3 linked regions of the Mus musculus genome follow. The protein of the gene in region 1 purifies or fractionates together with the protein of each later gene. This does not show direct contact. Links are inferred from orthologs where the notes say so. Each region holds a gene or a part of one and is shown in the gene's direction. Other genes may lie near its edges.

The links.
Region 2: the proteins of Mbip (region 1) and Kat2b purify together in Homo sapiens (affinity purification with mass spectrometry; 4 studies listed by BioGRID and IntAct, counting the BioPlex papers as one, with this or other methods). This does not show direct contact. The link is inferred for Mus musculus from reciprocal best matches to the Homo sapiens genes MBIP and KAT2B.
Region 3: the proteins of Mbip (region 1) and Zzz3 purify together in Homo sapiens (affinity purification with mass spectrometry; 4 studies listed by BioGRID and IntAct, counting the BioPlex papers as one, with this or other methods). This does not show direct contact. The link is inferred for Mus musculus from reciprocal best matches to the Homo sapiens genes MBIP and ZZZ3.

The regions. Positions count from the first base shown.
Region 1 is NC_000078.6:56,343,026-56,347,274, reverse strand, and holds the start of Mbip (MAP3K12-binding inhibitory protein 1), read left to right. Parts: upstream 1-1,380; 5' UTR 1,381-1,474; coding exon 1,475-1,603; intron 1,604-4,249. UniProt on the Homo sapiens protein: Inhibits the MAP3K12 activity to induce the activation of the JNK/SAPK pathway. Component of the ATAC complex, a complex with histone acetyltransferase activity on histones H3 and H4.
Region 2 is NC_000083.6:53,646,864-53,650,515, forward strand, and holds part of Kat2b (histone acetyltransferase KAT2B), read left to right. Parts: intron 1-1,883; coding exon 1,884-2,020; intron 2,021-3,652. UniProt on the Homo sapiens protein: Functions as a histone acetyltransferase (HAT) to promote transcriptional activation. Has significant histone acetyltransferase activity with core histones (H3 and H4), and also with nucleosome core particles.
Region 3 is NC_000069.6:152,447,896-152,451,547, forward strand, and holds part of Zzz3 (ZZ-type zinc finger-containing protein 3), read left to right. Parts: intron 1-883; coding exon 884-1,031; intron 1,032-1,117; coding exon 1,118-1,233; intron 1,234-1,749; coding exon 1,750-1,821; coding exon of another isoform or gene 1,822-1,887; intron 1,888-2,714; coding exon 2,715-2,816; intron 2,817-3,407; coding exon 3,408-3,503; intron 3,504-3,652.

The DNA.
Region 1 (4,249 bases):
CCATTAACTTCATACTTCCACTTCCTGTATGTTAAATGCACTCAACTATCATGAAGAAGAGTTTTAAATCGTTTGTTTGCTTGCTTGCTTGCCTGCTTGCTTTTCGAGCTTTGGTTTCTTTGTGTAGCCCTTGCTGTCCTGGAACTCACTTTGTAGACCAGGCTGGCCTCATAAGGGATTTACCTGCCTCTACCTCCCTAGTGCTTTGGGATTAAAGGCCTGAGCCACTGCCGCCAGAGTTTTAATTCTTTTGTCCTTTATCTTTTAAGCTTGTTTTAAAAATTTAATAGAGCCAGGCATGGTGGAGCATGCCTTTAATCCCAGCATCCGGGAGGCAGAGGCAGGCAGATTTCTGAGTTTGAGGCCAGCTTGGTCTACAGAGTGAGTTCCAGGACAGCCAGGGTTATACAGAGAAACCCTGTCTCAAAGGAAAAAAAAATTAATAGAACTCTACATTATAAAATTATAACTTTTTTCGCTAAAATAAAGCTATCTAATAATACCCAACAAGAGTCGATTTAGTTTTATATCCTAATTTTAAAGAGTGTGGTTACATGGAATAAATTGGTCTTTTCTTTCTTTCTTTCCTTCTTTCTTTCTTTCTTTCTTTCTTTCTTTCTTTCTTTCTTTCTTTCTTTCTTTCTTTCTTCCTTTTCTTTCTTGTTGTTTTGTTTTGAGGCAGGGTTTCTCTGTGTAGCCCTGGCTGTCCTGGAACTCACTCTGTAGACAAGGCTGGCCTCGAAATCCGCCTGCCTCTGCCTCCCAAGTGCTAGGATTAAAGGCGTGCGCCACCACTGCCCGGCTGGTTTATATTTCTATTGGATTTATATTGAAACAATTTTAAGGTCAAGTGTCCAGTGATTGCACTGAGAACCCGTTGCATGTCAGAACTTTGACATAAACTATTTTGCAGGTGTAGTCATCAATGTCGTTCTATGGTAGGAAAAAGAAGCATAATGTAGCCCTTGTGTTCTTTTTAAATTCCTCATATCAAACAGTCTTATAGAGATGAAAATGTTCTATCCAGTAACGATCATCCTGGGTCAAGTTTCTAGTAATTAGAAAATTGTAAAGCACTGCTCCATCACTAACCCGCAATCTTTTTCCAAGACAACTCGACTGTTAACATTTTAAATTTTAATAGCGGGACTCAAATTCTAACACTTAAGAGTAAGGCTCTGCCAACATTCACAGGGAGCATCTAAGAGCCAAGTAGGTTTCTAAACCAAGGTGGACCACAGAAAACACCACCAGACAGAAGGTCCAGCTTCACATACACAAGTTCCCTCGGAGCACAGCTATCCTTGCTCTTGATTGGTCTTCCTGTGTGTCTGTCACACACAGAGGGTGGGGCCTATCCTCAAGCTCTAAGTGAGACGCTCTAGTTTTACGTCATCTCAGTGCGACGAAGTCCGCGAGGGAGGGGTGGGGTGAGCGCTGTTCGCGGTGGTTGGGGGGCTGCTTTGAAGGTGTCATGGCTGCTGCTGCGGAGCTTAGTTCCTCAAGCGGCAGCGAGAGGAGCCTGGAGCAATGCTCCAGCCCCCTCCTCACCCGCGAGGTCCTCTGCGAAGTCTTTCGCTCCTTGCACACCCTGACAAGACAGGTAAGTGGGGGTGCGGCGGGGAAGGGGTGGGTGGGGAGGGAGAGCATCCCGGTCCTTGTCCCCTTAGTTCTCTCGGAGGCGGGGGTCGCGGAGCCCCGCTGGCACGGTGTGTGCCGCTGGTGTGCCGTGGCCGGGCTGTGACACCCGGAAGACCCTGGGCCCAGCTCCTGGGACCGGGAGATGCCAGCGGCACGCTTGATGGCCAAGGTCTGGAGAAAACTGGGGTCCTGGCGACGAAAGCTTGCCCAAAAGATGCCTAAAAGGTGATGAGGGTGAAGGAGGTTCCTGGCGATCACGGTCCTTTTGCCTCCAGTGTATTTATCGCAGAAACTCACTGGTTAATATGGCCTGAAACTTTTCCTAGCGCCATCCCCACTCCTTGGGGGGTGATTTACTCTGGGGTTTTTTGTTTATTTGTTTGTTTTTCTGTTTTTTGTTTCTCTTGCCATTTATTGCATCTCTTACTCTTTTAAACGGGGAGGGATATATAAGGATTTCCACAATTTCATTTGTAGTATACCTAAATTTTAGTGTGAATTGTTGGATGAGTTATGTGTGGCCACTTCTAACTACATTACGACTGTCGTGTAGCTTAGCTAATTGCTCTTTACAGAAAATGTCACAGTAAACCTGGATTTTAAAAACTAGGTTACACTTTACTAGATAGTCGTGATGTAAATGAGGCAATGTTTAAATAAGGAACAAAAGTATGTTTGCCTGCTTTTAGAAGAGTTTTGTGTCAAACATGTTTCCTAATTTGTTTGGGGACTGGTTATAGTGCTTGAAATGGACACAGCACACATTTATGTCAAGGGCAGTGGTACCACCAGTGAGAATAGGACATTTACCTGATTTGTGAGGATTATTTTTAAAATCCTTAGTTGGAAAACCTTAGTAAGTTTATTCTGACTGGCAAACTACTTGAGTTGTACATTCTGTTTGGTGTTACTGGACTTCGAAAAGTTAAAAAAAATTAAACTCAGTTGCTTGATAAGCAATTAGGAAAAAAATTCTTACAAAGTCTTAAGCACTTTCCTTATTAATATTTCAGTAGTAACATCTCAGATCTTTAAATAGTTTAAAAGTTAGAGAACTTTTTGGCGTGGATTTGGAACTTAAAGATTTATTCATTTATATTTCTAATGTCAAGATGAGAAAAATCTTCTCAAATATTATGCTTAGAAATTGCAAAATAATTTACATTGATAAATTATTTGAATTATAAAATATCTAAATTTTGCATACTGAGTTTTTTAATTATATAAATTTATCTCAAAGGTTCAAATGGAAAAATGATTAAACTTAACTTATGCCACTTGCCAAAAATGTGTAGAGAAAATGAAGTTTTTGTAACAGTAAAGGGTCCTTTAACAAGTGTCAAATATAAGATTTTTTAAAAAATTAATTAAATGCTATTTTAGTAATATGTATTTTGAGATGCGTGATTAAGGATGAAAGCCATCCACACTTATAAAGTTGCCCCTGCGGAATGTGTCCTTTCGCAACAAATTAAAGGGACTTTTAAGATGTAAATTGTAATATGTCTAAGTTCACCTTAAATATCATTGAATTATTAGCGCTTTTCGATAGAAAGTGTAAAACTGAATTGTTAAAAAGCATTTTTCCTTCAAATGCAACTAATGTGTTTCTACTGAACATACATGACTGAGTAGTCAGTGTTAATAGTGTGTTAATAGAAAAATTTGAACGCCTGATTACTGTCCCAAGGATTATGGGATAAAAATTCATAGAATCCATATGTTACTGGGGAATTTGCTGAATGAATAATTGGATTATTTGGGGGCCATTTTTAAGTTAATTTGTCACCTTACTGTTTGGTTTCCATAAAAGATCAAGTGTCTCCAGTTGCCTTTGAAAGCTTCCATACTGACATGAGAATATGATCCAAATATTAAGATTTCTTTCCTATAATTATTTTCTCTAGAAAGGGTGATGCTTTGCTTTGGTTTAAGGTTTGCCTGCTTATTCCCCAAACATAAATCTGCCAAGAGCTCTATAGTTGACTGTGGCAAGAATAATGAACTGTAAAAATAAAAAAACAAGACATGAATTGTCCATGGAACCAAAGAGATCTCAGGTTCCTATGTTAAGCACTCTACTGTATAAATAGTGGATACAGAAACCTACTGCCTAAGACCAGGGGCATCTAAGTCCACATTTGGCAAACATAAAGAAATATGAAATTTTACATAGGCTATACTGACATAGGTAAACTTACACTAAGTTAAGATTTGACGATAAGATTACTAAGATAACTGCATTTATTATTGAATATGAAAGTAATCCATCAGCACATGTCTTGGTTTTTTATTCTTACAGCTCTTTAAATTTGTATTTGAGCTCATGAAACATGCATCTTTACTTTGTAGAAAATATGACATAATTTTTAATAAATTATTATTGCAAAATAAGTACAATTGACTTGTTTCCACTTGAATTGTGTCTAGCAAAGTTTATAGTGATTCCCTTATACTCAGTCAAATGTACAGGTGGAAGCTTCTCCCTCTAAAGTTTTGACTGATTTTGATATTAATTTTATATTCTTGGTAGTGTTCTGGATATACTTTTGTTCTAATAAATCACTACCTGGTGAGAAGTTTCCGTGTTATGAGACATATCTTTCTA
Region 2 (3,652 bases), on another chromosome or scaffold:
AGAAACTCAAACAAAACAAAAAGAATCTTCCTTGATCACTTTCCACATTATTCCCTGAGGCCAAATATTTCAATTGAACCCAAAGCTTACAGAGAAAGGCTGGTCTAGCTAGCCAGCTTTCTGTAGAGATATTGGCCTCCTCCTCCTCCTCCTTCCAAGGGCTGGAATTAGAAGTCGGTCAGCATGACTGCCTGGCTTTTGTGGGTGCTAAGGATCTGACTTTTGAGTCACACATTTGGAAGGCAAGTCATTTTACCATAGCCATCTCCTCAGTGTTTTTATTAAAGCAAAACATTTTACTGGTATTTTTCAAATATATAAAAAGGTACCTAAATATAATATACGAGCATGCATATGAACACCTGTTGTATAATGTGTAGATGGAGGTAAATAATTAGATCAACCAGCATTGAAGGTTTGAAAAACAAACTTGGCCGGGCGTGGTGGTGCACATCTTTAATCCCAGCACTTGGGAGGCAGAAGCAGGCGGATTTCTGAGTTCGAGGTCAGCCTGGTCTACAGAGTGAGTTCCAGGACAGCCAGGGCTACACAGAGAAACCCTGTCTCGAAAAACCAAAAAAAAAAAAAAAAAAAAAAAAGGAAAAAGAAAAACAAACCTTCTTAATTTATATATCAAGCAGACAAAATGTCCTCCAGGCCTGGGTTGCTGGATGCTCAGGGATTATTCTACCCCCAGCATTGGGAAACACAGATTCTTGCTAGGAAGAAATTAGAGATTTAATAACAACAACCAACACATTCTATTTGAGGCGATTAAAACAGTCTTTGACATCTATGATCATAGAAATGTATTACAGTTTTGAATTCACTGTGTAGTCAAGGAAGACCTTGAGCTCCCAATCCTCCAATAAATAACAGAAACCAAGCTCTATGTCAAAAAACAAACAACAAACAACAAACGAACAAACAAATAAACAAACATAAAAACCAAACCCATATGTTTAGGCTTGGAAAGATGGCCCAGTGTTTCAAAGCCCTGGCTGTTCTTGCAGAGGACCCGTGCTTGGTTCCTAGTACCCATGTCAGACAGCTCCCAGTTACCTGGAACTCCAGTTCCAGACAGGATCTGACATCCTCATACAGACATGCATGCAGGCAAAATAGCAATGTATACAACATAAAAGTAAATAAAAAATTAAGACAAAGAAACATGCTTTAATAACTCATATGTCAGGTTGAAAGTCATCTTAGAAAATAAGCAATCTTTAAGATGGATCTGGAATTGGCAGTGGTGGTGATCTCCCTTCTCTTCCACCACCACTTTTTTCCCTCCTGAGACAGCCATTAGTGCTATTAGAAAATTAGTAGGGAGACCAGTGTGAAAATGTACATCTATTATCCCAGCTTTCGGAAGATAGAAGCAGGAGTATTACCACCAGTTTGAAGCTAACCCGAGCCATACACATACACATACACATACACATACACATACACATACACATACACATACACATACACATACACATACACACACACACACACACACACACACATATACACATACATATACACATACACATACACACACACACACATACACATACACACACACACACACATATATATGTGTGTGTGTGTGTCTAATACTAATAGTCTAATACTATATATATATGTATATGTGTATATATGTATATTATATATGTGTGTGTCTGTGTAATATTGATGGTCTAATACTATATATATGTATACACACACACACACCCACACACACCCATATATATAGTATTAGACCATCCAGGGATACATGGCAAGACATTTTCTCACTCCACATCTCCTCCCCAAGTACATTAGATCCATCAGTATGTATTTCCATTTCAAACCATCCATTTTTTTTCTTTTGCCTTTTATTTTGAACATCACAGGAGAAAAGAGGAAAATGAACAACTCTCATGCTCCCGAGGAGGCCAAGAGATCTCGAGTGATGGGGGATATTCCCGTGGAATTGATCAATGAGGTCATGTCTACCATCACAGACCCTGCAGGGATGCTTGGACCAGAGGTCAGCAGGGTGAACAAGGCACCTTCTGGTCTCCCTGCCACACTAGCTGTCACAGATGAGGGTGGGGTGCTGAGAACACACTGCTGGTCACCTGTAACCTAGAGGCCACTATAGGGAGGTCAGGAGTGGCTAACCAAGATGTGGTTCCCTTTGATAAATATCAATTACAGGGGCACAAACTACAGTTTCAAGTAGTTGGGAACGTTTCCATAGTGAAGAATTTCAAGCTTCCACCAGCAATGCAAAAGACAAAACAAAAGAAAACAAAAGAAAACGAAACACCCATGGACTGTGTTGTGCTGAGAAGCGTCAGTGATTACCTCCTTTTTTCCTTTCTTGACCTCCTTTTCCTCTCCTGTGAACCTTTTAGAATCATTGCAGAGTCCGAAACAGATATAATAATACATCACACCTAGTGCATCTGCCTGTGTCTCATAGGAAAGCAATTCTCTTATATAATCACGTGAGTTAGCACTCAGGAAATTTAACTTCATTATAAGGTTCTCTGGTTTAGGGTTGGCAGACTGTAGCCTACCAGTCATGTCTGCTGCTCAGCTTGTGGGCTAAGGAATTGGGTGTCAGCTTCTTACTCGCTAGGAGTGAAGGTGTCCAGCGTCGTAGGCTGGAAATCGCTTTTCTGGGCTGTGTTAATTGCTAACCATTGCGCATAGCAGGAAAATGGAATCACTGAGGCTTGGAATGTGTGTCTTGCAAAAAAAAAAAAAAAAGTTCATCTCTTGACTTTTCAGTGGAAAGTTTGCTGACTTATGGCCTAATTTTCAACCTCTAGGTCCAGTGACCATCTGACCAATTTATGCTATTCATAATATGCGTTATTGTTGGAGGCTCAGTTAAGAACCAAGCATAGAATTCAGTATTCATTTCTTCATCTTTTTATCTTCCTTCTCTCTGTCTCTGTCTCTCTCCTTCCTCCCTCCCTGCCTGCCTCCCTGCCTCCTTCCTTCCTTCCTTCCTTCCTTCCTTCCTTCCTTCCTTCCTTCCTTTCCTTCTCTCTCTCTCTCTCTCTCTCTTTCTTTCTTTCTTTTTTTTTTCCTGGACTGGTCTCATGTAGTCTAGGCTGATCTTGGACTATCTATATAGCCAGGATTAATGACCTTGAACCACCTTGCTAGGTTCATGTGGTGGTGGGGATCAAGTCAAGGGCTTGTTATATGCCATATTCCATACCTCCGAGCCATATCCCCGGCTCCTTAGTCTCCTTTAAAGCCATTCTCCAGGCCTTTTCTCTTCTCTTACAATGCTGTCTTTGTTGAGGAACTTTGTTAGCAAATTATGCATAATATCTCAGTGTGGATCTGTGTAATAGTTTAGGTCAATGCAGGTAAAACATTTTGGTTGAAAGTCTGCTCTCATCTTATTGTAAGACATCCAGGAACAGGGAGGCTCAAGACGTTTCCAGGAAATGAACACATGACTTGGGTAGTAGTGTATAAACAACTTCTATCTTTTTGGTGTGGCTTTGCTAGATTAAATCAGTAAGTTTCATACTGCTCTGTTTTTGTGACTCTTTTATTAATGTCAAAGATCATTTGGAGGATTGAGTGTTGCAACAGAACCATCTCATAAAATTCATTCCTTCTGGACTGACTATCCAGTCTGTGGGGACCTAAA
Region 3 (3,652 bases), on another chromosome or scaffold:
CCTGGGCTGTAAGAGAGACGTTCAAGAAACAAGATAAAACGACCCTAAGCAACCCAATAATAAACACATGGAAAAAAACCCATCTTTTATTATTATAAACAGTTTGAGCACAAAGATGTTCTTAAAATGACAAGTTCTGGCAAGTTAAATTAAAAGTGTTAGAGAAATAAGTAATAATGTATTAACTTTAATCTTGGTTTATTTGTGTTCTGGTAAAAACATGCATTTAGTTTTCTAGTTGCAGGTTATAGTTACTAGATTTATATACAGTTAGCTATTTGCTTGTTTTTCATTTCTAGGTTTAATTTAGAAATGTTTTAAATTCAGAAAGAGATGTGTTATTGAACACCTTAGCTTTACAAAGATGAGCAGGTGTGTATTAAAATCCACCTACTCAGTAAAGATTCAAAAGTTAGGTTGCTTTTCTTTGTCCTAGATTTAATTTAGAATTTTAAGATGTCATAATTTGAGCAAGAGATGTAACTGTGGTTGTAGCACATGCATGTTTTGTACAAGGCCCCCAGGTTTGACCCCCAGCACTTTGAGAAAGAGAATGTTGTCATAATGATTATGTGGCAAGGGTGAATAGCCACAACCTTTAGGCTAACGTCACATTTTGTGTGTCTCATCATTTGTTGCATCTGGCACACTCACTGTGCTCGTTCTTAGAGCTGATAGGTGTTTGGTGTGGTGTGTGTGTATAAAGTTGCTGCCGGTACACTCTGCATCGCTGCACACTATATTACTACCACGTCGTATTTAGCACTCTATGAGTAGTATTTACAATGTGCCTATTATAACACATTTTGATTTTACCTATTTTTGAGTTAAATGTACGCTGTCACTCTGATATTTTTATTTTGTTTTGTCTTTTTTGTCCCAGGCTGACATAGGGCTTCCATACCCACAGAGAGTTGTTCAGTTACCTGAGATCATGTGGGACCAGTACACCAATAGCCTTGGGAACTTTGAAAGAGAATTTAAACACCGCAAAAGACATACTAGGAGAGTTAAGTTAGTTTTTGATAAAGGTAAGAACCCACACGATAAGAATTTAATGAGGAAAATGTCTTGTAGTGTCCTAATTGAATAATTGTGTGTATGATTTGATTTTTAGTAGGGTTGCCCGCTAGACCAAAAAGTCCTTTAGATCCTAAGAAGGATGGAGAATCCCTTTCGTACTCCATGTTGCCTTTGAGTGATGGTCCAGAAGGCTCCCATAACCGTCCTCAGGTAGGCAGTGTGAGACACCTGAATAGCATGAAACTGAACGGTGTGCTGATTTCTGTTCTTAAGCTGAAGACTTGTTTACTGACAAACAATGAGAACATGAACTTTCAAGTTAAGAGGAAACCTAAATCTGCCTTCAGACTGGTAGCCACGACTCTTTTGCTGTTGTTTATGCCCAGTTTTCTAGTTGCATGTTCTTATAAGATGTAACTTGTGCTGGTCACATTTTGGGGTTTTATGTATTTTAAGTGGGCCTTGTGGGTGCTGTTCCTAGTCCCAGTGCACTATAAAGTGTGACCAGGATTTCAGATGTGGCCTTGTCTCAGTTGGACTGCTAGTTTTCAATTTGAACCCATGTTTCCTGTGTCTAGAAAGGAGTTACAAGAATATGGAAACAAATTCAGTAAATAGGTGATGTATATATTAAAAATTACGCAAAGATGTTTTGAAAATTCTAAAGGGTGTTCTTTGAGTATACCCTTGTATTTTCCATTTACCTAAAGCCCTTTTTATATGCAGATGATAAGAGGTCGCCTGTGTGACGACAGCAAGCCCGAGACCTTCAACCAGCTGTGGACTGTTGAAGAACAGGTGACACATGCACGCTTCTTGATTCTTTGGGCTAAAAGGAAGTCTAGACTGTCACAGCGTTGTTAGGCAAGCGTTAACTGTTGCATTTCATTCCTTTTGCATTTAATTTCTTTAAATTATGAGTTTAAAATATTTAGAAGTACTTATAAACCTTTTTGTATTATGAATTTTGGGTTTTGAAGACAAATTGTTTGAGAAAAAAACCTGGGTTTGAGAAGGAGGGTAGACATGGATGATACTCTTAAAAGCAGCTGTGAGAAAGAAAAGCCTCAAGACAAGCAAAGCTGTTATCAGTTGCATTTTAATTTCTGTTGTGGGGGAACTGAGAAGCTAGACTGGCATTCTTGGAACATTTCCTGTGTGTTCCCTTCAGCTGAATTGAGGATTGTATAAAAAGCCCAGGAAGTTTGATTTTATGGATTAAATGTTGTGTGTCTCAGGGTTTTAATATTCACTCAGGTGCTTGAATGACAGATCACGCAAAAGAGGAAGAGTCTCTTATTCCAAATCCAGTGAATTTGCATGTTTTCTGTTAAAGCTGAAGGGAGTGTGTTCAATCAAGAAAAGATAGTTGGGAAGCGGTGTTCACTGAGATGTATACAGCTCCACTATATATCTCCTCTGACTTCTTGTGCTATTTTGCCACTGAATTGAATAGAAGCCTTTATAAGGGTTTTTATAGGTGTCTCCTCTAATCTCACTTTGCCTGTGGCACCTTAGCCTCCTACCTGGAACGGTTCCTACCTTGAGAATCTCTAATAACGTGATATGACATCTAGAGTTGGGAAAGCTTTACTGTGTTTTGAATGAAATGTGAGTGTATTTATTCAGAAATCCAGTATTTTAAATGGAATCCTTTATTCCATTAAAATTTGTTCCTGGATTTGGTGCAGAAAAAACTCGAACAGCTACTCCTGAAATACCCTCCCGAAGAAGTAGAATCTCGGCGGTGGCAGAAGATTGCTGATGAACTGGGCAACCGGACAGCCAAACAGGTGATGGGAATGGCTGCGGACTGAATGGTAGATGGTTTCCCACGGACAGTTGATAGCATTGCTAGCTGTAGTGTATCAGTTTTAAACTGATTAGCCCTGCTTACTTTTGTGTCACTAGCTTGAACAGCATAAGTAACACTGCTTAGTGTCAATGTAAAACATTATGCATGTGCGTGTGTGTGTGTGTAATATATACAAATTATATATACACACATGTATTTATGTATGTATTGGACCTTGCCTCTCTTGAGTGTTTAGTGAGTGTGCTGACAATGTCCTTTTTTGTTAGACTGTGCTATTGGATTTTGTGGCATTTCATTAATACCATCCCTGATTGTCTTGTTTTCTTTTCTGTAGTACTGGCAGATAGGGCTTCCTGTGTGCTCCTCGGTGCTCACCAGGAGGAATGATTGCTTAGCTTTGGGATCAAACAAATGGAAATTGACTTGAATTGGTTTTGTCTAGGTTATAACTTATAAATGTCTTTGATGGCAATTTAAAAGTTACTTCTTAATTTAATTGTTAACCACTTAAAGCATCTCAAATATCAGATTATTTCATTATGTTGAAAGAGCCGTCATGTTTCTTTAGGTCGCCAGTCGTGTACAGAAGTACTTCATAAAGCTAACGAAAGCCGGCATACCAGTTCCAGGCAGAACACCTAACTTATATATATACTCCAGAAAGGTAAGCAGTCCACACGGCCAGACCTCAGCGAGGGTCGCTGAGCTCAGAAGTGCTGAGCGCGTGAGTTTGTTAAGCTGTGCTCCCCTTGTGCTTGCCATTTCTCTGTAGGCTGTACATGAACCAGTGGCTCTTTCTGTGTCTGGTGTGCA